7 linked regions of the Macaca fascicularis genome follow. The main gene of each other region encodes a partner of the protein of the gene in region 3 in a complex. Links are inferred from orthologs where the notes say so. Each region holds a gene or a part of one and is shown on either strand. Other genes may lie near its edges.

Evidence for each region.
Region 1: MED16 (region 3) and MED4 share a complex: the UniProt entries of both Homo sapiens proteins name them as parts of the mediator complex. The link is inferred for Macaca fascicularis from reciprocal best matches to the Homo sapiens genes MED16 and MED4.
Region 2: MED16 (region 3) and MED26 share a complex: the UniProt entries of both Homo sapiens proteins name them as parts of the mediator complex. The link is inferred for Macaca fascicularis from reciprocal best matches to the Homo sapiens genes MED16 and MED26.
Region 4: MED16 (region 3) and MED31 share a complex: the UniProt entries of both Homo sapiens proteins name them as parts of the mediator complex. The link is inferred for Macaca fascicularis from reciprocal best matches to the Homo sapiens genes MED16 and MED31.
Region 5: MED16 (region 3) and MED19 share a complex: the UniProt entries of both Homo sapiens proteins name them as parts of the mediator complex. The link is inferred for Macaca fascicularis from reciprocal best matches to the Homo sapiens genes MED16 and MED19.
Region 6: MED16 (region 3) and MED23 share a complex: the UniProt entries of both Homo sapiens proteins name them as parts of the mediator complex. The link is inferred for Macaca fascicularis from reciprocal best matches to the Homo sapiens genes MED16 and MED23.
Region 7: MED16 (region 3) and MED8 share a complex: the UniProt entries of both Homo sapiens proteins name them as parts of the mediator complex. The link is inferred for Macaca fascicularis from reciprocal best matches to the Homo sapiens genes MED16 and MED8.

What each region holds. Positions count from the first base shown.
Region 1 is NC_088391.1:27,212,684-27,216,797, forward strand, and holds the start of MED4 (mediator of RNA polymerase II transcription subunit 4), read right to left. Parts: upstream 2,801-4,114; 5' UTR 2,775-2,800; coding exon 2,650-2,774; intron 1-2,649. UniProt on the Homo sapiens protein: Component of the Mediator complex, a coactivator involved in the regulated transcription of nearly all RNA polymerase II-dependent genes.
Region 2 is NC_088393.1:16,912,935-16,916,434, forward strand, and holds part of MED26 (mediator of RNA polymerase II transcription subunit 26), read right to left. Parts: intron 1,860-3,500; coding exon 1,785-1,859; intron 1,123-1,784; coding exon 1-1,122. UniProt on the Homo sapiens protein: Component of the Mediator complex, a coactivator involved in the regulated transcription of nearly all RNA polymerase II-dependent genes.
Region 3 is NC_088393.1:1,454,786-1,458,979, forward strand, and holds the start of MED16 (mediator of RNA polymerase II transcription subunit 16), read right to left. Parts: upstream 2,801-4,194; 5' UTR 2,699-2,800; intron 2,571-2,698; exon of another isoform or gene 1,916-2,570; intron 1,126-1,915; 5' UTR 1,108-1,125; coding exon 939-1,107; intron 216-938; coding exon 108-215; intron 1-107. UniProt on the Homo sapiens protein: Component of the Mediator complex, a coactivator involved in the regulated transcription of nearly all RNA polymerase II-dependent genes.
Region 4 is NC_088390.1:6,686,294-6,689,264, forward strand, and holds the end of MED31 (mediator of RNA polymerase II transcription subunit 31), read right to left. Parts: intron 1,833-2,971; coding exon 1,640-1,832; 3' UTR 501-1,639; downstream 1-500. Other genes in the region: TXNDC17 (thioredoxin domain-containing protein 17), read left to right, coding at 141-209. UniProt on the Homo sapiens protein: Component of the Mediator complex, a coactivator involved in the regulated transcription of nearly all RNA polymerase II-dependent genes.
Region 5 is NC_088388.1:15,900,230-15,903,245, forward strand, and holds the end of MED19 (mediator of RNA polymerase II transcription subunit 19), read left to right. Parts: intron 1-1,027; coding exon 1,028-1,284; intron 1,285-1,441; coding exon 1,442-1,538; intron 1,539-1,843; coding exon 1,844-1,938; intron 1,939-2,136; coding exon 2,137-2,205; 3' UTR 2,206-2,516; downstream 2,517-3,016. UniProt on the Homo sapiens protein: Component of the Mediator complex, a coactivator involved in the regulated transcription of nearly all RNA polymerase II-dependent genes.
Region 6 is NC_088378.1:35,595,750-35,599,249, reverse strand, and holds part of MED23 (mediator of RNA polymerase II transcription subunit 23), read left to right. Parts: intron 1-2,023; coding exon 2,024-2,148; intron 2,149-3,500. UniProt on the Homo sapiens protein: Required for transcriptional activation subsequent to the assembly of the pre-initiation complex. Component of the Mediator complex, a coactivator involved in the regulated transcription of nearly all RNA polymerase II-dependent genes.
Region 7 is NC_088375.1:191,388,016-191,392,236, reverse strand, and holds the start of MED8 (mediator of RNA polymerase II transcription subunit 8), read right to left. Parts: upstream 2,801-4,221; 5' UTR 2,617-2,800; coding exon 2,261-2,616; intron 1,606-2,260; coding exon 1,461-1,605; intron 957-1,460; coding exon 816-956; intron 629-815; coding exon 547-628; intron 185-546; coding exon 1-184. Other genes in the region: KICSTOR complex protein SZT2, read left to right, coding at 3,919-3,945. UniProt on the Homo sapiens protein: Component of the Mediator complex, a coactivator involved in the regulated transcription of nearly all RNA polymerase II-dependent genes.

The sequences.
Region 1 (4,114 bases), on a different chromosome or scaffold from region 3:
ACTGGGGAGAGGAAAGCAAAGTGAGGATATAGCAGCCAGGTGGCTAGGGGTAAGATTATGTAGGACCTTACAGTTATGGTAAAGATTAATGTTTCGTTCCATATTCAATGAAAAGCCACTGGATCATTTTAAACAGGGAAAAGGCATGACCTGATTTACACTTTTAAAAACTGCTGAGCGATTTGGTAAATAGACTGTAAAAGGGCCAGAACAGGTGGTTTTTGTAGTGTTCCAGGCAAAAAATGACTGGTTTTGACTAGGTCATAGCCTCCAGGACTTAGTAATGGTGATGGGAGAAACATAGACAGATTTCAGATATCTTTTGGAGGTAGAGCTATCAGGACTTGCTGATGGATCAACAGTGTATGAAAACAGCATGTTACGTAAACTTTTTCGTGTATGCCACTGAGACACAAACTGTTGAGAACCTCTAGTCTAAGTAAAAGCTGGTTTCAGGTGGGGCAGGGGTGGTGCTGACTGGAGTGGGGCTATGGTAGGAGATGTGGGATAAGCCTTCCTCTGTTCTTGCAAATCTGGGAGTATGAGTCCACAGAAGGCTTTACAAGGCTTGCCATAGGCACAGGAGTACAGGTGAGGTAGAAGTCTCTGACACAGGAGTAGAGGGGAGGTAGAAGTCTCTAAGACTTAGTCATGTTCTGTAACAGTCCAAGACGAAGTAGAAACCTCTGTCCTCCCCATTTGTGAAAAAGAGGCCAAAGGAAGGCCCATACTCACTCTCTGGTTAAAGATGTGGAAGTAAGAGCCCTGTCCTGCTACAAGGAAGGTGCATTCCTGGCATACTGCATTAGAATCCAGCCACAATTCCCCATAGAAATAAAATTTCCATAGGGGTTAGAGCCTACATTATTAGTGGTAATACACTTTTCAGGTAAAGAGAATTAACAGGCTGGTGTGGAAACCTCAAGACTCCTATCAACATGATTCCGTGAGTTTTCAGTTACAAACGGGTTAAGAAAAACGTTTAGACTACAACCTGTGTTTCAATTGTTTAAGACTGTCTCCTTGCATTACATTTTACAAAGTAATAAATATCCTGAAAGGGTACATAATCAGGTTAATAGAAAAAAAAAAAAGATCCTAAGTTATAAATCCACTATTTTTTAAAGCCAAGAGGCTCAACCTAAAAATATGTAAGGTACATTCGTGAATTTTCTTCTCATTTCCATAAATGCAAGCCAGACACAAATTACATTCAGAGACTGACAAATTACACAGATCACAGAATCAGCACACATAACTATGTCTGAGTGAGCACATGAGACTTTTCTGGAAGCCAGTCACACCACCAGAGCAGCTTCATTCTGTGAAGAAATTCCAATGATCCGCTCGCCTCGGCCTCCCAAAGTGTTGGGATTACAGGCGTGAGCCACCACACCCGGCCATAATACAGTTTATTTTAAACAGTGGATCAAACACATAAGTCATTTAATTTCTGGAGTCTATTTGTTTTAGGGTTTTCTTCCATCATTAAATATTGTGCTGACCTGGTAACTTGGTAGCAATACTATGGCAAGGACTAAATTTACACCAAAGATAAAGTGCTGATTATATCAGGTATATTTTAAAATACAACAGATAAGATTTATTCTAAAGTTGTCAAAGAATGTTGGCTACAGAAAAAGTGACATTTGGGCTGGAATCTGAAGGATATATGAATCATTCACCAAATCGGGGGAAGATTGGGAATGGCATTGAAGATGTGGAAGCCTGACTAAAGAATTTGAACTTTACCTCACTGGACAACGCAAATCTACCAATGAGGTAGGTTTTATATCATTTTTCTGCAGAAAAGTAATATAACATGCCTTTTAAAACTGATCTTGGCCAATATAAAAGGATACAGTGCAGAAGCATGAGGCAATTAAAACTGGGAGGCTGCATTTAAGAGTAGTTATGAACAGTGGGGTAGGAACGAGAGGACAAATGTGAGCAACATTTTAGGAGGTAGAACCAAGATAATTTACCATCCACGTCAATGGGAGGGAGTCAAGGAAGGCTTCAACTTGACTTATCATGAAAGGTGACAGAATATAAAGAATGACATTTAATTTCATCTCCTATCTCTGATACAAAACTTGCAACTCCACCAAGCCAGGCTTTTTGCACTTGCTGTTCCATCTACCTGTGCTGCCTAGTGAGTCTGGCAAGCTCACGCTTCCCAAACAGCCGTTTCTTCAGAGGGCCTGCCCTGATTACAACCAGAAAAGGTGCCTAGCCCCTGTGCTCCAGTACCCCGCAGCGCAGCGCTCTAATAAAAACAGGCTTCAAGGCAGTTTACACATCTGTCTCTCTCTCTCGACAGCCGGCATTCAGCCTACCCTGCACTACTGTCTCCCTAGTGCTTGGCACCCAAGGGGCGTTCCATAAATGTTAAGTGGCTGGCTGTGGACGAAGGGGCTCAGACCGCGCGAGTTCTTATCATTACTAAAATTCCCTCTAACGGGAAAAACCGCCGTCCAGAGTGCTGGAAGACTGCGGACCCCACGTCCGTGACCCTGGTGCACCCGAAACTCCCGAGCTGGCCCTCCCCGCCGAACCCCGAGAACGAGCACAAACGCTGGGCCGGCCGGCTCCGGGGGTCAGTCCCCCGGCCTAGCTCCAGCCCGGCTCTCAGGATCGCAGCATTACCTAGACAGGACCTCCAAATCCTCAAGCGCAGACAGTAGCCGCTCTCGTGTGCTGTTACCACTTGCCACTCCCAAGCCGCCTCCCAGCCTCTCTTTCTCCTTCTCACCACTCGAAGACGCAGCCATTTTCCTCACAGCCCCGCCGCCGGCGCACGCGCTGAGCGCGCTGACGCAGGGGCGTGGCGAGGAGGCGGGCTCGGAAGGCGGAAGAGTCATCCAGGAGAGGAAGAAGAGGCCCGGCGAGGGCGCCCCCTTTGCGCCCGGAGGGGCGCACTGCGGGCACCGGCGCCATCTGCTGGGCCAGCGAGGGCTTTTGGGTCCAAACCCTGGGAGCAAGGGCTGAACTGAGAACAGGGAGTGCAATGCAGTCTGATTCTCCTGGGCCTAATGTTTTGTTTTTTCTTTCTTTTCCTTCCTTCCGCAGTCTGATTCTCCTGGGCCTAATGTTTTGTTTTTTCTTTCTTTCTTTCCCTCCCTCCCTCCCTCCCTCCCTCCCTCCCTCCCTCCCTCCCTTCCTTCCTTCCTTCCTTCCTTCCTTCCTTCCTTCCTTCCTTCCTTCCTTCCTTCCTTCCGTCTTTCCTCTTTTTTTGAGACGAGTCTCGCTCTGTTGCCCAGACTGGAGTGCATTGTCGCAATCTCGGCTGACTACAACCTCCGCCTCTCGGGTTCAAGATATTCTCCTGCCTCAGTCTACCGAATAGCTAAGATTACAGGCGTGTGCCACCTCGCCCGGCTAATTTTTGTATTTTTAGTACAGACAGGGTTTCGCTATGTTGGCGAGGCTGGTCTCGAACTCCTGACTTCAATAGATCTGCCCACCTCGGCCTCCCAAAGTGCTGAGATTATAGACGTGAGCCACCGTGCCCGGCCCTGGGCATGATGTTTTTCAAGCAGCAATGAGAAGCTTCTATGAAGTGGTTTTTAAGACTTTGAGGGAATCACATAATGGTCTACATTATTATAAAAGACGGTCGGGGACTGCCTGACTCCCATGAGGCAGTCGTACCTGTGGTCCTTTCATTTCATGGTCTCATCCTCTGCTCTTTTTGGAGGTGCTAAACTTGACTCCTGGGCACCCAGAGTTGACAAGTCTTTCAGAAATTCGTGTTAAATAAACTCACTCATAGCGGCCCTGCGCGGTGGCTCAAGCCTGTAATCCCAGCACTTTGGGAGGCCGAGATGGGCGGATCACGAGGTCAGGAGATCGAGACTATCCTGGCTAACACGGTGAAACCCCGTCTCTACTAAAAAATACAAGAAACTAGCCGGGCAAGGTGGCAGGCGCCTGTAGTCCCAGCTACTCGGGAGGCTGAGGCAGGAGAATGGTGTAAATCCGGGAGGCGGAGCTTGCAGTGAGCTGAGATCCGGCCACTGCACTCCAGCCTGGGCGACAGAGCAAGACTCCGTCTCAAAGATAAATAAATAAATTAATTAATTAATTAATTCACTCATAGCAACGGCTGTGT
Region 2 (3,500 bases), about 15 Mb from region 3:
CCGCTCTTTTAACCGGACAGGCTTGACGCCCGCCTCAGCCACCTGCCCGTCCAAGTTAACCGTGTAATCTCGAGGCCGGTACCTCTTCTTCTTTTTACTGTCCGAGCCCCCTGAGGAGGCAGCGTCACTGTCCGCCTTGGAGGAGTCTGGGGAGAAGCCCGCCCGGGACAGGAGGGGCTCGGCTGGGGACAGCCCTGCCTTGCAGCCCGGCCCCGCCAGCCGCTGGTGGCTTTCCGGCTGCTCAAGCCAGCGCACTGGGCTTTCCGCACTGGGCAGCAGCTCAAGCCGCCGTACAGGGGGTGTGGACGGCTGTGCCAGTGGAAGCGGTGACGGCACCTGTGTGGCATCGAGCGCCTGGGGCCGCGGTGAGGGGCTGGGCACGGAGCCCTTGGGTGCATACAAGCTCTGCTGCCGGGCAAAGGAGCCCTCATGCCGTGAGTTCCGAGGACTGAAAGAGCAGCGAGGGGGCCCCTTGGGGTGGGGAGGCCCCGGAGTCTCATCCACCCTGTCCAACTGCTGCAGCACCGAAGCCTTTGGCTGCAAGCAGGGTCCAGGGGGCTTGCCCAGGCCTGGGGAGCTGGTGTGCGGCCGCACAGCGTTGATGGGGATCTTGCCACTGTGCTTGTCGTTCTCGCCACGCTCCAGGCGGCCGCCCTCTGGGCCTGCATGCCCACTGCCATCCAGGGAGCCAGGGAAGCTCTCTGGACTCCCACTGATGCCATTGGTAGGGAGGGGGGATGAGTTGGGGACAAGGGGGTCGTGGCTAGCTTTGGAGACCTTAGGTGGTGGCCCTGGGTGGCCGAGGTCACGCTGGTCACCCCTGCGCTTGCGGCTGCCCAGCCTGTCCAGCCGCTGCCCGGGCAGCCTCTGGAGGTCATTGCGGCTCTTCAGGTCATGGATGCTCCTGGGCGGGCCAGCCGCCCCCACCTCCGGCCGGCAGTTGTGTGCACCCCCGTTGGCAGAGCCAGCGGCCCCCGCCAGCCCCCGCAGCGCTGCCTCATGCTGGTGCGCTGGCTCGATGAGCTTCTGCCAGCTCCGCAGCAGCTTCTTGGCCCGCTTGGCGAGCTCCTCGTTCTTGGTTTTCTTGCGGACGTCGTTGATGAGCTTCCCAAGTCGTGTTTCCTACAACCAGAAAGAGAGATGATGACATACTTTCGGGACAGGGACTTCCCCATGAGCTGAGCCAGAAATGGTGGGAAATGGCCCTGACAATGAAATGACCTGGTTCCCACTGAGCCCTAAACTGCCAGCCTCCCTGGCACAAAACTCCTGGGGATTTCCAGTCCTTTGTGACAATATAAATTCTCAAACCTAGTCCCCAGACCTTCAGAGTCCCAGGTGGCTTCTCAGCAGTGCTGTCCCGCAGGCTCCTGGTGCCAGGGGGCTGTCAAGGCCACTGTAAGGACACTGCCAGGGAGGCTTTCTGGATGAGAGGGTGCTGTGGCCAAGGCGGCAGCACAGAGGGTCTGCTTCAAGTGGAGGGTTGGGGACGGCGCCTCTCATTGGAGCCTCCCCCAAGCACACCTCTCCTGATGTCCCCATGTCCCCACATGCCCACGTGCCCATGAAGTGTGCTGGGCAGGTAGGATGGGATTAATGCCACTTGGTCACTGCAGTGGCCACAGGAGAGCAAGATCACGGGGCACAAGCTGTGAGGGCACACCGCCTCTCTTGGTCCTCTGAAGCAAAGACACACGCTCCTAGAAGCTGGGGAAGGAACTGGGTTGGTGCCGTCCCCTGTCCCCCATTCTGCACTCCCAAATGCTGGGGTCTGGGATACTCACCTCAAGTGCCTCTTTGGTAATGGGGTATTTCTCCAGGCTGGAGATGACTTCCAGCACCGCCACCATGTTCCGGATCTGTGGAAATAAAGAAAAAGCCATTTGTCAGGTTCCTGCCCTTCTCCCCTGGGAGGCAGGGACACGCTACCCCAGCCTGCTCCAGTCTCTCCCCAACCCCAGAGCAAGAGGAGCTGGCAGCACTGAAGCCCCCACTCCATGTAGTCTCCTAGCTGCTCCCCAGGCCAACCTGGCGCCCAGTGCTCATCCTCACCCGCTGTCCGACCTCCTCCAGTGTGTGGTGTGCGGTCTGCTCCAAACCCTCCAGTGTACATGGTACATATCCACCCACCTGCTGAAACCCAGGATGCTTGTGAAACAAGAGCTGCTCCTGATACTTAAAATGACCTCTACTCTGCCATCTGATGGGAGTGGGAGAGGAGACACTGAAGAATTCATCGAATAAAATCCACAAAGCTTAAAAGATCAATACATAGGCTGGGCGCGGGTGGCTCACGCCTGTGAATCCCAGCACTTTGGGAGGCCGACGAGGGCGGATCACGAGATCAGGAGTTTTGAGACCAGCCTGGCGAACACAGTGAAACCCCATCTGTACTAAAAATAAAAAAATTAGCTGGGTGTGCTGGCATGCGCCTGTAGTCCCAGCTACTCGGGAGGCTGAGGCATGAGAACTGCTTGAACCCGGGAGGCAGAGGTTGCAGTGAGCCAAGACCACGCCACTGCACTCCAGACTGGGTGACAGAGCGAGACTCCGTTAAAAAAAAAAAAATTCAATACATAATAAACCAGTCGATTTGAATCCAAAGACACCATAAAGAGAGCAGAAAGTCACAAAGTGGGAGAAGGCATAGACCACAAGCCCCAAGGAGCTGTATCTGGAACACACAGAGAATGCCTGTGCAGCAGTGCAGGTGACCAGGAACCCAGCGCACAGTGGCTACAAGACAGGAACAGGCACTGTGCAATGAAATGTCAGCGCTAATGCTCAGCTTCTCAGCTTTATCAATAATTAGGAAAACTCAAACTGAACCCACAAATGGATATATGATACACGCACCCCACTGACAATACTAGGTACTTCTGGGGGTACAGCCGACTTTGGGAACGGCTGGACTTTGTCTGGCAGAGTGAAACATGAACACAGCCTATGACCGAGTAATCCCACCCTTTTAGGATCTTGCTAGGAGCCACACCTTGTTCTAAGCACTTCCCACACATTACTAACTCCTTTAATTGTTAAAACAAGAATTCCTACCGCTCAACCGCCACCTCCAGCAGCTACAGGTTTCTGGTGGGCTGGCTGGCAGGCGGGAACCCAGGGGCCCTGAGGAAACCACAGTGAGTAGATTACACAACTCCCCCCCACCCCCACCCCAACATGATAAAGGAGTTAAGCAGGCACATGATACAAATTAAAACAGCGTAAAAGGGCACACAAGGAAATGGGCATCTCTGACCCAGCCACTGTAGCATTACCTTGCATTTTTTTCCAAAAATATCCCTTGTGTATGCAGGCGTATACATCTACACTTGTCACATATTTCAAAACCAAACTGACCGTGGTTCTTGCCTTTTCTGACTTAACATCAGCAATGTCCAGCCTCAAACAGAGCCCCTCATTTGGCTCACCATCCCTTCCAGAGTGGGGAAGGCCCGACTTGAATGTTGTGGGACACTTAGGCACTTTCTGTTCGCCATTAC
Region 3 (4,194 bases):
CCAGGGGCTCCAGACCCAGCGCCGGACTCCAGACTGACTGGGGAACACGGGCCCCCTGCTCCGGGATCCGGGTCGCCGCCCCCAGCCACGTGGGACCGGGGCCTCACCTGACTGATCCCACTCCAGGCAGGTGATGGCCTCGCGGTGGTCTGAGGGGATGGAGTGCAGGTCCCAGGGGTGCTCTGTGTCCAGGATGTGGATCATACGGGTCAGATCTGTGGGGACGGGACATGGTCAGCACGGCCTGGCGCCATGGCCTGGAGGCGAGGATGATGACCCTGGGCAGGCTCCAGGGAAGCCAGTGCGTGTCCCACCCCGGGGAGGTCACAGAGCTGCTGTCAGTCGGGTCGACAGCTCAGGGAACGGGCTGTCCCCCCGCAGGAACTGAGCAGGCCCGTGAGGCGCCATGACCATGTCTTTAAAACCAGATTAGAAGAAAATGACCCCAAAACATGAACAGTGGGAGCCTCTCCACAGCAGGTAATGGGGGCCTTTTATCGCCCTGATTTGATTCCAATTTTCTGTGGTTTTCTAATTTTCTCTAATGACCACCTATTATGAGTGCCTATTACTCGAACAATGGAGAGAAGATGGGCATAGCCACCACGTACCTTTCAAAAACCAAACAGTGACACATGCTGTCTGGAAAACTGGGGCACGTGTCTCCAACAAGCCTCCGTCAACCACCGCCCCAGCCCCACTCGATCCCACACACGGGGCGATCTCATGTCTCCCGGCCCCAGGTTTGGGGAGCACTGAATCCACCCTCTGTACCCCCAGAAGGCTGAGGCTCTCACCCAAGTTACAGAGGAGGGCTGGGGAAGAGTGAGGGGAGGCCTGAGAGACCGAGTCCCCGCGTGGCAGCGTGCCGGGCACCTGGGGAACAGGGCAGGACACCGTGCGGCCGGGAGGGGAAGCGGGTGGCGGGGGGGACACACCCTGGTCGTCGCTGCGCAGGTCCATGGTGAAGGCGATGAGATTTCGGCAAGACCAGGCGCAGGCCAGGGGCACCGACGGGCAGTGGGTGCTCTTGGACCATTTCTCCCACTCACAGACGTAGGCCAAGTCCATCATCCCACCTGCCGCTGGCCGCCGCAAGTCACACATGAGGGCAGTCACCAGCTCCTGCGGGAGGGAGGTGTGGCGGGTCAGCTATGTTGGCTGAGCACCCAGGGCATGCCAGGCCGGAAGTGGGTAAACGATGGAGGCCTGCGGTGGAGGGAACGGCAGATGCAAAGGCCCAGAGGCGAGACAGAGCCTGGGCGTTCCCGGCTGTCCATGGGGCTGGGGCCGAGGGGGAACGTGGAGAGGTCAGGGCCAGTCCTGGGCTGGTGGGCTTCTACCCTCAGCAAGGTGGGAGCCCGGGAGGGCTGGGACCTATTTGGGTTTCACCAGGACCCCTCTGGCTGTCTGGGGAAGGGACCATGGGGGCCAAGGGCACAGCTGACAGATGCGGCGGAGGGTCTGCACTGGCCCAGGTGAGTGATGATGGGGGCGGCAGGCGGACCCTGGGTCTCTCCCGAAGGAAGAACCCACAGACAGGCAAGCAGTAGGGTGGTTCCCTGTGGCCAAGGCGGGGCAGGCGTGCTGGGGCTAAGGGGCTTGCTGAGTGTGACAGGGAATGCCTGTGGCCGAGGCGGGGGCTGAGTGTGACAGGGAACAGAGGGAGCATTTCCTCGGGGTTTTCTAAGCACCTGACATCTGGAGGCTGTTTTGCTTCAGAGGCAAAAGCCCAGTGAGACTGGAATGACCACCAGCCCCATTTTCCTCAAGCCCTAACTCCAGCCCCCTACTTCTTCAGGGTCTGCCCCAGACCCCCAAGGATCCGCCGCAAGCCCCTAAAAGTCTTTCAGCCCCGCCGCTGATACTCTTTGCTTCCCACACTTCAATTCACCCCTTGAGCCTACGGCCTCACCCGAAATTCTCTGGCTTCACCGTAGGGGTCCCATGTACTGTTCAGGTCCAGCCTCCAATGCCCCCAGCTCTCCAGGCCTCACCCCTAAGACTCCCCAGTCCCCAGACTCCACTCCGGGGACCCCATGTACTCTCCAGGCCCTTCCCCTACCGCCTCCAAACACCAGGCTTCATCCTAGGGACCCGTAGCCTCTCCCGGCCCCGCCCCCATAACCCCAAATCTCCGGGTTCCACCCTAGGGACCCCAGAACCTCTCCAGGTCCTGCCCCTATAACCCCAACTACCAGGCTTCATCCCAGGGACGCCTCAGCCTCTCCAGGAACCGCCCCTATAACCCCCGATCTCCAGAGACCCTATACCCTCTCCAGACCCCTATAAATCCGCAGTCCCCAGTCTCCACCCCAGGGACCCTATTCCCTCTCCAGGCCCCGTACCGATAACCCCCAGTCTCCAGGCCCTGCCTCTACAGACCCCCAGTCCCCAGGCTCCACCCCAGGGACACTATTCCCTCTCCAGGCCCCCCCCCACAATCCAACCAAGCGCCTTCAACCCCGCCCCAAACTCTCCTTAGGCCCCGCCCCGACCCCCGCCCCGCGGGCCTCAGGCCTCCCGCGAGTTTCCGCCGCAAACCCGGAGCCCCGGGCCGCCTACCCAGCAGCCTTTGCTCCCGGCCACGCCCCCTGACCCCGCAGGGCCCGCCACACCCGCGCCGCGTTCCCTGGGGTCCAGTGACACGGTAAGGGGTCCGTCCGCCCTCGCCGGGCCCCCGCAGCCCTGCACTCACCTGGCCGGCCCGTGCACCAAGCCCAGCGGGCGTCCGCTATGCGAACTTCCCTAGCGCCTCGGCTAAGGCGCGGCCATCTTCCCCGGCACCAACCAGTCGCCTGAGTCGCGCCGCCGCCTCCCAAAGACTTCTGGGAGGGCGGTGCGGCTCAGGCTCCGCCCCGCTTCCGGGGATATTTGCATACGAGCATTTCCAGTAATTCCCAGCAGCCACTGTAGCTATATTTGGTAGAATAACGAGCACTTTCTCAACTCCAGTTAATAACTGCGTTAGTTGCGTGACACATTGGACTAATACAAATAGAGGTTGAATCTCTAGAGCAGTGGAGACAAGTCGCCGTATGTGTAAAGAAATTTCCTCCGGGGACTATAAATAGCTGGTGGTAGACCCAACGGGTCGTGCTCGCTTCGGCAGCACATATACTAAAATTGGAACGATACAGAGAAGATTAGCATGGCCCCTGCGCAAGGATGACACGCAAATTCGTGAAGCGTTCCATATTTTTGTCCTTTATTTCTTCCCCCCAAAACGGAGTCTCGCTCTGTTGCCCAGGCTGGAATGCAATGGCGCGATCTTGGCTCGTTGTAACCTCCGCCTCCTGGGTTCAAGCAATCCTCCTGCCTCAGCCTCCCGAGTAACTGGGACTACAGGCTCCCGCCACCACGCCCGGCTAATTTTTGTATTTTTTGGTATAGACGGGGTTTCACCACGTTGGCCAGGGTGGTCTCGATCTCCTGACCTCCTGATCCGCCCGTCTCGGCCTCCCAGAGTGCTGGGATTACAAGCGTGAGCCCCCTTGCCCAGGCTTTCTTCCATTTTCTTTCTTTCTTTCTTTTTTTTTTTTTTTCTGAGACGGAGTCTCGCTGTGTCTCCCAGGCTGGAGTGCAGTGGCGTGATCTCGGCTCACTGCAAGCTCCACCTCCCGGGTTCACGCCATTCTCCCGCCTCAGCCTCCCAAGTAGCTGAGACTACAGGCGCCCGCCACCACGCCCGGCTAGTTTTTTTTTGTATTTTTAGTAGAGACGGGGTTTCACCATGTTAGCCAGGATAGTCTCGATCTCCTGACCTCATGATCCACCCGCCTCGGCCTCCCAAAGTGCTGGGATTACAGGCTTGAGCCACCGCGCCCGGCCTCTTTTTTTTTTTTTAATTAATTTATTTATTTTTATTGTACTTTAAGTTCTGGGGTACATGTGCATAACGTGCAGGTTTGTTACATATGTATACTTGTGCCATGTTGGCGTGCTGCACCCATCAACTCGTCAGCACCCATCAACTCGTCATTTACATCAGGTATAACTCCCAATGCAATCCCTCCCCCTCTTCCATTTTCTAATGTCCGAGAGTGGGGAAACTGAGGCTCCTGTAAGCGAAGTCACGGACCCCGTTGAGTATTCCTACTTCCAACCCCATTCCCACCTCCTCCTCCAAAAGCCAGTTTAATGCAATGGATGTTGTGCTCTTCCGTTTTTATTTTTATTTTTTTTGAGACAGGA
Region 4 (2,971 bases), on a different chromosome or scaffold from region 3:
AAACTTGTTATAACTAGTTGATAGTTTCTGAATTGCATAATTTCTGTGTTCAAAGATTAGTGTCATTCAAGGCAGAACCTATTCCACTCCTAATAACGTTTTATAGGAGTAGTGAAGATTTGACTGTTCTTCTCTTACAGCCTCAAAAACTGGTAGAATCTGAGTGTCTTCAGGCCAACCTGGTGGAAATGTTGTTCTCTGAAGATTAAGATTTTATGATGGCAATCATGTCTTGATTTCCTGATTTGTTCTAGTATCAATAAACTGTATATTGCTTTGAATACATGTTAGCAATAAATGAGGTTAAAAAACTGGCATGTGTCTAAACAGTAGAGTGCTATTAAAATGCCCATGAACCTTTAGTTTGCCTGTAATATATGGATATTTTTAAGATATAAACAAGTCTTCAGAAGTAGCAGTAAAGGCTCAAAGGAATGTATCATTGAAGGTGACGGAAATACCTAAAAACTCCTAAAGGCGCAGAGCACACCTTCCAAATCTTTCAAAAGATCAGGATCTTTTATTTTAAATTATCTGCATCTGCAAAGCAACTGATATTCCTGAAACCCCTTCTTTGATTTTGGAACGTAGAACCTAACCTCACCACTGAAGGAAGCATATTACCTCTAATCCAGCCTCTGCTTAATTCAGGCAGTTTTGTTTTGTTCATGAAGAAACCGATCCTGAGCACTAGAGGCAGTTCGTTTTGCGGCTCTCTCAATGTGCTTTACTTGGGATTAGGCAGGTGGCGGAGAGGGGCTGGAAAGACTGTGTAACCCAGTGGTGGGAAGAACTCCAAGCTGGAGTCAGTCACACTGATTCTACCACTTACTAGCTGTGTAACCACAGGCAAGTTACCCGCCCCATCCAAACCTCAGTTTTCTCTTCTGTAAACAAGGTTCTGAGAATAAAATGAGAATTCAAGGAAGCACTTAACATAGCACCTGGTATGTGGTACCTCCCAAATCAATGTTAGTTTTCCCAAATGAGCACAAGTATTTGAGGCTCCTCATGTTTGTTCTAAAGTCAAGAGTCCAATTAGTAATTAACCACTAGTTGTCCTGCCATGACTAGGTCAAATGAGGCCACAGTGATTCTTAAAGCCACCTTGCAAAGCAGGTAATACAGGGATTTCCTGTCCTGCAGAATTTGAGAACCTTTATGCAGTTCCTATCCTGTGATTTCAAGAGGTCACTGACTCCGCTACTCTCACTACATAGATAAGAGTGGTAGAGTAGTTGATCTGAGAGACAGTAAGGTTCCAGGAGATGGCCTTGCGCTACTATATGTCAGGAAGAGCTAGCCTTAGAATTCAGTATACTTGGTGGCCCACCCCTACCCCATGCCCCAGTGCCTCATTTGGTCTAAAGCACCTAACTTTTCCATTCTTAATCAGCTGACTATGCTAAATGCATACAAAAGAAAACACCTTACAAATCCACAGGGAAATCAAAGTAGACCAATTCAGGTTTAAAAGAAATAGTCTATTAACAATAAAAAGTTGGATTAAAAAGCACACTAAAGGTTCTAGGGGCTACCATAATAAAGGTAGATAGGAAGAGTTTTCATTTTTTGTCTTCACTGTACAAAAGAAATACATTATATACATGTATTGAGAGCCTCATCTGTATCCGGTTTTTCATTTTCCCGATGTGTTATTTTGCTGTTGCTGCTCTGCCAAGGCTTGCTGAAGGCGCATCCGCTTCCGGGAATAGTGCTGCCAATGTAGAATCTGCTGTTCATCAATGAATTTCGCACACTGAGCATTCACCAGCTCCTTTCGGAAGTGTTCGTATTGGAGCAGCTCTAACATGTGTAAACACTGAGGGTACCTGGGTTTAAGTTTATAAGTAAATGAACAACATAATTTAAGTAAATAATGCCAAGGTCTAATTAAGTTATTCTCTTAAAAATGATCTTGTAGCCTACCATTTCTTTAACTTAGTACACACTGGCAGCATAGGGTGTTTTCCCTGATTGGTCATCAAAGGTCAGTGTTCAGCAATATTTTCGAAAGTGAGAAGGTTTAAGTTCAGAAAGATTAAATTTAAACTTGCTCAGGACCACACAACACAGTAACTGGTAAGCAGAGTGAAAATGTAGGGACAAACCATGCTATTCCCTTCTAGTGGTTTCCAACGTGAAGAACATGAACATATTTTACTAATTCTGTGTTTAATTGATAGTTCTTTGTTTTTCCATCAATAGTGATAAAAAGACAACTTTCATTTAAAAGTGAGTTGGTTTGAAAGAGAACTATGCACATACATTATACTCTTCTTGTCCACAGGGATATACCAACTCTGAAATTAGATATACTCTAGGATTGGACAAGTAAATATACTGTGGATAAGGACAGCCAAATTTCGACAAGGAAAGGAAAAAGGCTAGAATGAATCCTGTGTTACTGAGCTGGTATTGAAAACATTAGTATGTACTTAGGGCTTTTAATATAGGTAGACAGGATAAACAGATGTATACATGTGTGCATGGATACACATACAAACATAGAGTTCTTGAGCTTTGTGTACTGAGAGGGCCTAGAAGCAATGACACTGTGGTACTAATGAACACACAATGTCCAGATTGTGGTATCCAAGGAGCAGGTTTCCTTGGAGAAAAGGGTGATTCAGGGATAAGAGAGGGAAAGTACAAGATGAGCCTGGAACATTACGTAGTGCCAGAAGAAAAAGTGCTAAAAATTATTGGGACGATCAAAAGTATTCAGGAACCAACTTGAAGGGACTCCCAATGGCCAAATCTAGAATACTCAGAGCAAGAAAATACATAATTCTAATTCACAGGATAAAATACTAAATGGATGTAAATTTCTTTAATAAAATAATAAATAGAAAACAAGGGAATGTACTGCCTTACAATCGAATTCCAAACTAATAAATGCAGAATGACAGAATTCGAAAATCACCACAGTAAAAAATGTTTCAAACAAATATCTTCAAAAGATGCTAAA
Region 5 (3,016 bases), on a different chromosome or scaffold from region 3:
GAGGTGGGAGAATCACTTGAACCCGGGAGGTGGAGGTTGCAGTGAGCCAAGATCGTGCCACTGCACTCCAGCCTGGGCAACAGAGCAAAACTCCCGTATCAAAAACAAAAAACATTTATTCCTTTTAGGCAAGGCATCATACTCAATATCATGAGGAAGAATAAAGATGTTGGTAACAATTTAGGCGGTGGTAGCTAGAAAAATCTCCCGGTTCTTTTCTTATGTAAAGGTGATTAGTGTTTCTTGCTAGTACAAAAAAATGTCCTTGACAAGACCCTTAAGTCACTGGGTCATATTTGGTCCCCTTAGCATGGTTGTAGCTAAGCTGTGAGGTCGTATTTTCCTGGCTGTGTCAGAGAATGTAATTTTCACTAGTACATTTTATGAGAAGCGCTCAGAACAGCATTTACCGTGAAGCAAGAAGCACCATGTAAATCAACTCTAGTTAATCTGAGAGATTGGAGTGTCTCCTTCATTGGGCTAGAGCAGTTCCTGTCTCTGCCCTATTGGATTTTTGCCTGTTTTTCCCCTTCCCATTGGAAGCTACCATTGTGTTGTATTGTATTTTTCATGTTATTTACTTTTGCTGTTTTTTTCTTTTTTTTTTCTGAGACAGAGTGTCACTGTCGCCCAGGCTGGAGTGCAGTGGCGCAATCTCAGCTCACTGCAACCTCCACCTCCTGGGTTCAAGTGATTCTCCTGCCTCAGCCTCCTAAATAGCTGGGACTACAGGTACGCACTACCACACCCAACTAATTTTTTGTATTTTTAGTAGAGACAGGCCTTCACCGTGTTAGCCAGGATGGTCTCAATCTCCTGACCTCATGATCCGCCTGCCTCGGCCTCCCAAAGTTCTGGGATTACAGGCAAGAGCCACCGTGACTGGCCTGCTCTGTTTCTTTAAAAATAAATTTTAAATTTTAAAATCTGCACTTAAAAATTCCTTATTTAGGTTAATATATAGTCCTTCACTCCCTGGGTCTACTTTGAAGACTGATCTTTTTTATTTTTATTCTGCGTTGTCTAGGTAGCACAGAGCTGACGGGCAGCACGAATCTGATCACACACTACAACTTGGAACAAGCCTATAATAAATTCTGTGGGAAGAAGGTGAAGGAGAAGCTAAGTAACTTCCTGCCTGACCTGCCAGGGATGATTGATTTGCCTGGTTCCCATGATAACAGCAGCCTCCGCTCTCTCATTGAGAAGCCCCCTATTCTCAGTAGCTCTTTTAATCCTATCACAGGGACCATGCTGGCCGGCTTCCGCCTCCACACTGGCCCGGTGAGTCCTGTTGGAGGAAGAAGGCAAATGGGGAGGCCTAAACATGGAGATGGTTTTTCTGTCCAAGTCTGTTCCTTCATAATGGAGCAGAACGGATGATAGGAGCAGGAGAGATTTCCTCCCTCTACTCACCTGGACCTTCCTTTGGTTCCTTCAGTTGCCAGAGCAGTGTCGTCTGATGCATATTCAGCCTCCCAAGAAGAAGAATAAGCACAAGCACAAACAGAGCCGTACCCAGGATCCTGTCCCCCCAGGTAAGAAGCAGTTCTATTCAAACCAAAAAAAAAAACCTGACCTGAATCTGGTTTGAACTTCCATAGGTAAACCCAGTTAAGTTCAGTATGGAGCTCTGGACTCCTAAATTCCCCTGAAGAAGAAACCAGTGTACTGTGGTCTCTTGGGACTTGGGACAGGGACTGTAGCAGCACCTCTGTATCCTTTTTGGCCATTTGGACAAAAGCAGTTGCCCCGACTTGGGATTTTCCTGTAGTCTTCAGTGGTTCATAACAGTAGAGGATTTTGAGCTTTATGGGTGATAGGTACCTAATGTCTCCTACAGAAACACCATCTGATTCAGATCACAAGAAGAAGAAAAAGAAAAAAGAAGAGGATCCTGAACGGAAAAGGAAGAAGAAAGAGAAGAAGAAAAAGAAGGTAGAGTAGAGGCCTATTGCCACAACCCAGTGATTTTCCCTAGATCTCACCCCTGTCCTAAATACCCTAAATAGTTCTTTGCCTCAAGTTGGACCCACAATTGAAAACCCAAGGCAGGTTACAGGTTTCTCCTGTACAGCCTGATCAAAGCCAAGGCTAGTTCCTAGTTGTTCTTACCCCTCCTTCTTTCTCTCCCAGAACCGGCATAGTCCAGACCACCCAGGTATGGGCAGCTCCCAAGCCAGCAGCAGCAGCAGCCTACGCTAACAGGACCACTGGACTCTTTGCCAGGATGGCTTTTCCTGCTGTACTGAACCTGCTGACAAAAGCTGCCTTCCAGGCTCTTGGACACTGCCTTGGGAGCATCCTGCAGCTGGGACAGAGACCAGCTCCTGTTGGGCTCAGTTGAGACTAAGTACATTAGGAGAGAGAGGGACATGCTTTTGTAGGCTCATCCCAGTTGGTTTTCTCATGGACATCTCCCAGGAAGCTTACAATTTTCTTCTCTCTCTGTTGTGCAATTTGTCTGATTTAGGACTTGTTCTGTTTTTTCTTAAAAAAAAATTACATTTATCAAATTGGCTGAAGTGTGACTGCTGTTAAGAGGTATGTTCTGTGAGTCAGGATTTAAGACAAGGCATTGCTAAGACTTGAGGGGATTTGGGTCTTGTTGTTACATTATGCAGGGAACCAACCAAAATGAAAAATGACCCAAGCTTACTAATACTCCACAGCAGACACAGAACACTCTGCCCGTTATGTTAAGAACCAGGCGCCTGGGTGATCTCAGGCTCCATCTGAAGAGCTGATCCAGGTAGGGCTCAACAGTGTATTCTAGGTCAATTTTGTGTTGAAACAGAATAGCCAACTGAAAACACATGGACAGTCACCCATGTATTTCAACAAGATTGGTTTCTTAGGTCAGAAGCCTGTGATCTTTTGAAATGAACTTCTGGCAAGCAAAGGTAAATGCTTCTCTTTTCTTTACAATAACTTTTGACCTGCTTCACTCCTTAGTTAAGACAATAAAGTTACTTAGCTGATGTGAAAACATTTCTAAAACAGCAACAAAATGTAA
Region 6 (3,500 bases), on a different chromosome or scaffold from region 3:
TTAATCCCATACTTCTTGCAGGCTTTGTTCATTTCTTCTTCTTCTTTTTTCTTTTGGTTTCTCTTCTCGCTTCATTTCATTCATTTGATCCTCAATTGCTGATACTCTTTCTTCCAGTTGATCGAGTCGGTTACTGAAGCTTGTGCATTTGTCACGTATTTCTCGTGTCATGGTTTTCATCTCTTTCATTTCGTTTATGACCTTCTCTGCATTAATTACTCTAGCTATCAATTCTTCCACTTTTTTTTCAAGATTTTTAGTTTCTTTGCGCTGGGTACGTAATTCCTCCTTTAGCTCTGAGAAGTTTGATGGACTGAAGCCTTCTTCTCTCATCTCGTCAAAGTCATTCTCCGTCCAGCTTTGATCCATTGCTGGCGATGAGCTGCACTCCTTTGCCGGGGGAGATGCGCTCTTATTTTTTGAATTTCCAGCTTTTCTGCCCTGCTTTTTCCCCATCTTTGTGGTTTTATCTGCCTCTGGTCTTTGATGATGGTGACGTACTGATGGGGTTTTGGTGTAGGTGTCCTTCCTGTTTGATAGTTTTCCTTCTAACAGTCAGGACCCTCAGCTGTAGGTCTGTTGGAGATTGCTTGAGGTCCACTCCAGACCCTGTTTGCCTGGGTATCAGCAGCAGAGGCTGCAGAAGATAGAATATTGCTGAACAGCAAGTGTACCTGTCTGATTCTTGCTTTGGAAGCTTCCTCTCAGGGGTGTACTCCACCCTGTGAGGTGTGGGGTGTCAGACTGCCCCTAGTGGGGGATGTCTCCCAGTTAGGCTACTCGGGGTCAGGGACCCACTTGAGCAGGCAGTCTGTCCCTTCTCAGATCTCAGCCTCCGTGTTGGGAGATCCACTGCTCTCTTCAAAGCTGTCAGACAGAGTCGTTTGCGTCTGCAGAGGTTTCTGCTGCTTTTCTTACTTGTTTTTTAAATAGCAACGTAATATTCCATTGTATGGCTGTACCTTCCTCCATTTAACCAATCTTCTACTGACTCTTAAGTTTCTTCTTAACTTTTTCTCATTTAACCAGTGCTGTGATGAATAATATTATGCCTGAAAAATAGGATAAATTCCTAGAAATAGTATTGCTGAGTCAAAAGCCTTACTGGTTTGTAAGTTTTATAGAAATTATTAAATTTTCCACAAGGGTTATACTAGTTTATACTTCCACCAGCAGTGTTTGAGAGTATCTTTTTATTATAACCTCACAATAGAGTGTTAAGCTTTTTGATCTTTGCTGATCAAAAACATGAGAAATTTTATCTCAGTATAATTTTATTTTGCATTTCTCAGTGATGTTGAACATCTTTCCAAAATTTTTTTAAAAAATTCATTAAACACTTTATAAATTATGATGTGGCCCTCTAATGGAGAAACCAGGAAGAAAATAGGTATTTCCAAATCATTGTTATATGTGCCACAATAGAAGTATGTATGAGAACAGTGGTCATGGAGAGAAGCAGAACATTATAGGCTCTTTTTGGAGATATCCTAGAAGATAAACTTTGATACAGCACAACATTTGACATCATATTTAAAGTTTTGCAAGTCTAGAAATGTGACATGTCATTAGATTCATAATGGGCTCTTCTTTAGGCTCTTAGGGATTAGATTCACACCTAATTCTCATAAGGCTGATACATACTGATCCATAATGAATTTTACTCCCAGTGACAGTAATATTTATATATGCCATAAAGGGCAATGTTTACAATGCCTTACAATGATCTGTGTTAAGAGTTTTCTATTGACCATTGATATGTTAGTTAATTAATACTTTTGAAGGTCCCATGTAATAAAAAGGTAGCATTTTATCTATATAATTGCAAAATTTTAAGCTTAATGTGACAAATACTAAATCTGAACATTTTAATTTTCCTTTTTTAAAAAATTATTTTCATCCACAGATGCTCATAGTGAAGTATTTCATTCATAGTATTGGTATACTTCCAGTTGTAGTATTAGCTATTTCTTATAAAAATGTAACTTTAGACCCCAAATAAAATCATTCTCTAATTTTCCAGGAGTCTCATGAACAGTGTATCCAGTGGATTGTTAAGTTTATTCATGGTCAGCATAGTCCTAAAAGAATTTCTTTTCTTTATGACTGCTTAGCAATGGCAGTTGAGACTGGTCTCCTTCCACCCAGGTACGTTTAATGGGTATGAGCAATCTGACGAATTTTCTTTTCTATATGTGATTGGAAATTGGTTGAGGTTGTTGTTGTGAAAAGATAAGAGAATGAAGAAGAAAGTGAGGTTCATCAAGTAATCCTTTATATAATACCTCAGGTTTTAGTTTTTAGGAGTCATAATCTTTGAATTATATAATGCTTGTGGGCTCAAAATCAGATGTTTCTGCCCAGGTGCTGAGATTAATCTCTTTGATTAGTTTGTAACACTTTACTTTTGCTGCATAACCTCAACACCTCATGGCTTAAAACAATAATACTCAGGTTTTAAAATTATTCATGGTTTTGGTGGTTGACTGGGCTTAAGAGGCACTTTTTCCTCAAGGTCTTAATGATTAATGATCGATGTAGCTGGGGCTGGAGCATGGCAAAAGCTTCCCCACTCAGATATCTGGTGGTTAGTTCCTGGCTGTCATCTGGAACCTCAGCTGAGATTATTAGCCAGAACCTCCACAGGCCCTCGCCTTGTGGCCTGAACTTTCTCACCTCATGGTGGAGCCTAACAGCAAGTGTGCAAAAGAGGGCTAGACAGAAATTGTGTCACCTTGTCTTAGAAGTCATACTGCATTCTTTCGGCCATAGTCTTAGGTCTGCCCACATCTAAGGAGTGAGAACATAGACTTTCCCCCTACCTCTCCTTGGGAGAAATGTCAGTGTCACATTTCAGAAGAAGATGTGGGATCAAAAATCTTGTTGCCACCCTCTTGGAAAAATCCAGTGTACCACAAGGTGATAGATGGTAAACATGTAACTGAAAGCTCCAGATACACTTCTTTCTAGTAAAATATAACGTAGTGAATATTATTTCATTCTTACTTTGTTTTTGATCTTTCATACAAGTAAAGAATGTAAAATGCTATACATATTTATAAGTGTACTTAGTAATAATGCACTTTTATGAAAGATATTTGAGAGGATAAATATAATACAGTCCATAGACTATGGCTATATTAGTCTGTCTCATGCTGCTAACAGAGACATACCTGAGACTGGGTAATTTATAAAGGAAAGAAGTTTAATTGACTCACAGTTCGGCATGGCTAGGGAGGCCTCAGGAAACTTAGAATCATGGCAAAAGGCACCTCATCACACAGGGCGGCGGGAGAGAGAATGGGTGCCCAACGAAGGGGGAATCCCCATGTGAAACCGTTAGATCTTGTGAGAACTAACTCACTATCATGAGAACAGGATCGGGGAAACTGTCCCCCATGATTTAAGTGGTTTTACTCATGACACATGGAGATTATGGGAACTACAATTCAAGATGAGATTTGTGTGAGTACACAGCCAAACCATATTGGTGGCTATTA
Region 7 (4,221 bases), on a different chromosome or scaffold from region 3:
GCCATCTGCACCTGCTGTAATCCTGAGGTTCCTGCAAGGATCGTCCCAGCTCCTGGCTGGCCTGGCTGGCCAGGACCACTGCTGCCTGAAGGTCTCCAGTTAGACAGTCCTTTCCCAAAGGCAACAGCTGCCACCAAGGCATTAGTGTCTGTAGGGTTAAAGGTCTGCTTGTTTGGCCGGAGACCTGAAGAAAAAGTAAGTGGGGATCCTGAAGTATGTTTCTGATGCAGGACTGAACGTGGCAGCTGGAAGACCAGTATGAGTGCCAGGGTTTAGAGTTCTGAATTCAGCAGCATCTAGACTCCCTCACAGCCCATAAAAAGAGCCAGAGGACCCCCAAGCCTATCTCAGAATTCTCTCTTCTTACTTTGCCCATTTCCTCCACTGCTTCAGGGTTGGCCTTAAATACAAAAGGCTAACAGAATGGATGCAAACCCTAAAGCAGTTCACTCTTGTGTCCTAACTTCACTACTCTCGAAACAACCATTCCCATTCCAGTGATCTTATATACCTCTCCTTCTCTGTTTTGCCACCAGTCCACCATACCTCCACTCTCTGATTCTCGCTCCTCTTTGCTGATTTTCTCCAGAAGGTTTGAACACATTTTATTCAAGCTCTGGATCTGCTTCTGTAACACACAAATTTGTGCAGAGATTAGGGTAACTAGGAAACGATATGGACAAATTTATTCCTTGGGTTCTGCCAGAAGCAGCTTAGGTGCAACCAACTATGCATCCCTACTAGACAGGAATGGTAATGCCTAGCTTCTCATGATGGGATGGGGATGGGGCAGCAAGGCAGTGACTCAGTCCAACCTGGGCTGCATCTGCACCAATGCGGGCAGCATCTGTCGTCAGTTGCTTCTCCTGTTCTTCCACCTCAGGGTCAGGCTTGGTTCTCAGATGGTCAGGGACTACCTCATGGCTGAAAACGGGCACCCGTCCTTCAGTCTGCCGCTGCAACACACAGATTTTATTGATCCTACTATGCACTCCAAGAAGATTCTATCTGGCCTGATATACAGTCCCATCCACAGGCAAACAGTGCATTTTCAAGGAAAATACAACCTAAGACATAATATCTAGTTTCCTAGGACACAATCTCCTTTACTCCAGCCTTCATTTTTTGTGTCTTCTCACATCCCTATCTCTACCAGACCTAGAGGCAAATTAAACTATCACTGTCTGCCACGTTTCAAAGACTGAAACAGACAAAGTCACCAAAGGGCAGACTTTGTGGCTTGAGACAGATGTTGGAGAAGGAAGGTACCAGCCTTGGTGACATACCCCTCAGGTTATTACAACACTATTTGGGAGTGGCTCTCCCACCTTCAGAAGAACAAAAAGCAAGGCCTCCAAAATTATTTCTAAGTTCTCAGCTAAGAACTTAATTTCCCTAAATAGTAAAGAAGCCTAAAAAACTCCTTAATTTCCCAAGTTGTATTCTTTTTCTGCTCTTACCATGAGATCTTCATCTCGGTCTGGAGACAACACCAGAGGGATGATGACCTGGTTACGGAACAGCGGTGTTTTTTCATGCTTCAAGACCTTGTTCAGAGTGTTCAACTGTCCAGAAAGCAAGGCAAAGCTGTCCAGGACAGATGGCCTGTTGGCAGTAAGCAGGTGTCAGAATGTTCCACCCCTTCCTTGGGTGGTTCTTAGTAAAATAGTCCTAGTTCCTTCAGGCTAGGAACACTCGGATTTATCCCCAAAAGTCTCATAGCCCTATGACTAGCCTAAGTGGGAAGAAACTAACAAGGATGACAGGGTTATGAAAGAGGGACATAGTTTCAGTTTATGAAACAGATGTAGAAAAAATCCAGTTCATTGTTTGAATGAGGTGAGGAACAGTGGCAAAATAGGACTATACTGTTATAACTAAAACTTCAGAAACCCGGTAAAATCCTTCTTTCCAGCCTGGAAATAGGATCCACACTTCAGAGTAGGTTGGATCTAAAGGACTCAGCCATATTTGTGGCAAGAGATCCAGCACAAATAGAGCTGTAATAGGAGGACCTCCTCACCAGAGAAGTCAAAGGGTAAGAATTGAAAGCTATAATGAACTTGGGTTAGGAAACCGAGCATTTCTCTACTTCCTTGCCATGGAAGCCACTTGCTAAATGTTACGAAACCCAGCTCTTTCCAAATCAAAAGATGTTTGTAAACTGATAAATGGTTACATCATTAGAAGTGTCCTATTCATCAGAAGGCTAGGCCCCCCCACCCATAAGCCCTCCCTAGCTTGCCCTGGCAACCCTTACCAGGTCAGCCGGCCATACTCGTTCTCCAACTTGCAAATGAAACTTCCCAGTGAGTTCTTCAGATCAGCCACTTGACTCAGCAGTGCATCTAATGATGCCTCAAGCTGCTTCTCCTCTCTCTGCACCAATAGGAACAGGTTGGTTACCCAGATAAACGAGTATGACACATAGAAAGGAGGGCTGAAAAGCCAAGGAGATGGTGTGCAAACACCAGTCAGGTAACAGGATCTCATTGGCATAGGATAACCAGGTTGTTTCCTATCTGTGGTATTTGGGTTATAGACAGCATCAACCCTGAGACCTTTCAACCGTTTGCCTGACCCAAGTACTTCCACCAACTGATTCCTTTTTCCCATCCGCTCCTAATCTATGCCTGGTTTTTCTCTGTATTAGGTACACCCTACACTCCCTCATTGAGACATTTTCGACAAACCTAATGCCAGATCATTATCTCATGTGCACCTCTGTAGCACATGCACTCCAGCTTCCTCCATCCTAGCATTTGTGAGCCTGGCTCTCTTGTCAGTCTCTGGGAAATCTGCCTACTCATGAAGACTTCTCTGAATACCAGCCCTGCTCTCCTCTTTCCCTCCCCCCACCAACCACTCCAGCTTTCCATCTGCTCTCATCATTTCATGTTTCAACCTTCTCCTCGCTGAATTAATATGCACCCATCTATCTCTGTGTCAATATTCCCGTGCCTCTTTCACAAGCTCGGTCAACCCAATAACATTTCTTGAGACTACCAGCTGCAGGAAACTAAGTGACAAATGAAAACCAAAACCGCACATGCTTCTAAGCACTGAACAAACAAATTAAAATGCCGGGGGTCTGCAAAGCATTTCCTTCCCATCGGTGGTATCCTGTTTTATTCCATTTCTTCACCCTTAACAACTATAGGGCACAGGCTGGGAAGAGTGATGCAAAACTGTCTTGCAAACCTGCTAAGGTGCCTGACAGGAACTTGATCCTGGGTTCCACCATGGCCTCACATTACAAGCTGCTTAGCTTTCGGACACCGCGGCCCACAATTCCCTCACTGCTTGGGCTTCTTTCCAATTAGATCCCCTGCTATATCGGCATCCAACAGCCTCCATCCAGCAGCTTAGGACAGGGCCTGAGCCAACCCACCACCTCCTGAGCCGTCTTCCTTGGACTGCATCTCGGCCTCCCCGTATTACAACCTAATCCTTTCCCACGCCAAGCAAGTCAGTGCTGCCTCCTCCCTCCGGATTTAGCCCGACCGCCTTCTGTCAGGCGAGCTCCACCCCCACCTCTCATCTGCGCCGCTCCCTCTCCAATTAACCTCGCCCCCCAACCCACGTTCCCTTATCAGCCGTGGGTTCTGCCCTCTTTTCTCAGTCCCAACTCTTCATTCTCCTTAGCCAGCCCACTCTGGCTCCCTGTAGCCGAAGCTGGCCAGCCGCTAGCACTCCCAACGCGGCTCTCACCTGCATTGCGGCGGCCGAGGCGACTGCAACGATTTCCACTTCCGGTTTCCTGTCAGCAAACGCCTCTGAGAAGGCTTCGTCCACCAATCAGAAAACTGGAACTCGGCCCTCCCACCCACTTCCTGTTCCTTCCGGGTGCCGAGGTAGCCAGGTCAGGGGTCAAGAGTGGAACACACGGGCCCGGGCCGGCGCGGGAGGGCTTGTGTGATGGCCTCGGAGCGCCCCGAGCCGGAGGTGAGGGGCGGGCGGACGCAGCACTGGGCCCTGAGATCCGAGGGGGAGGGTCCGGCGGGCAGGCGTGGCGTTGGCCTCCTCTGGGTCTGGGGGTGGCCGGGCTGCGTAGCCTCGGCAGGGACCAGCCCAGCCCGGAAGGCCCGACTATGGTACCCCTGCGGACTATGGGACGCGGTCTGCAGTTTCCTCGGGGAGCTAAAGGAGTAACTCTTTTTGCTTTGTTTTGTTTACTGACGTGTCATCCGCGTCGTCAACTCTTTGACCTAATGATAGTGG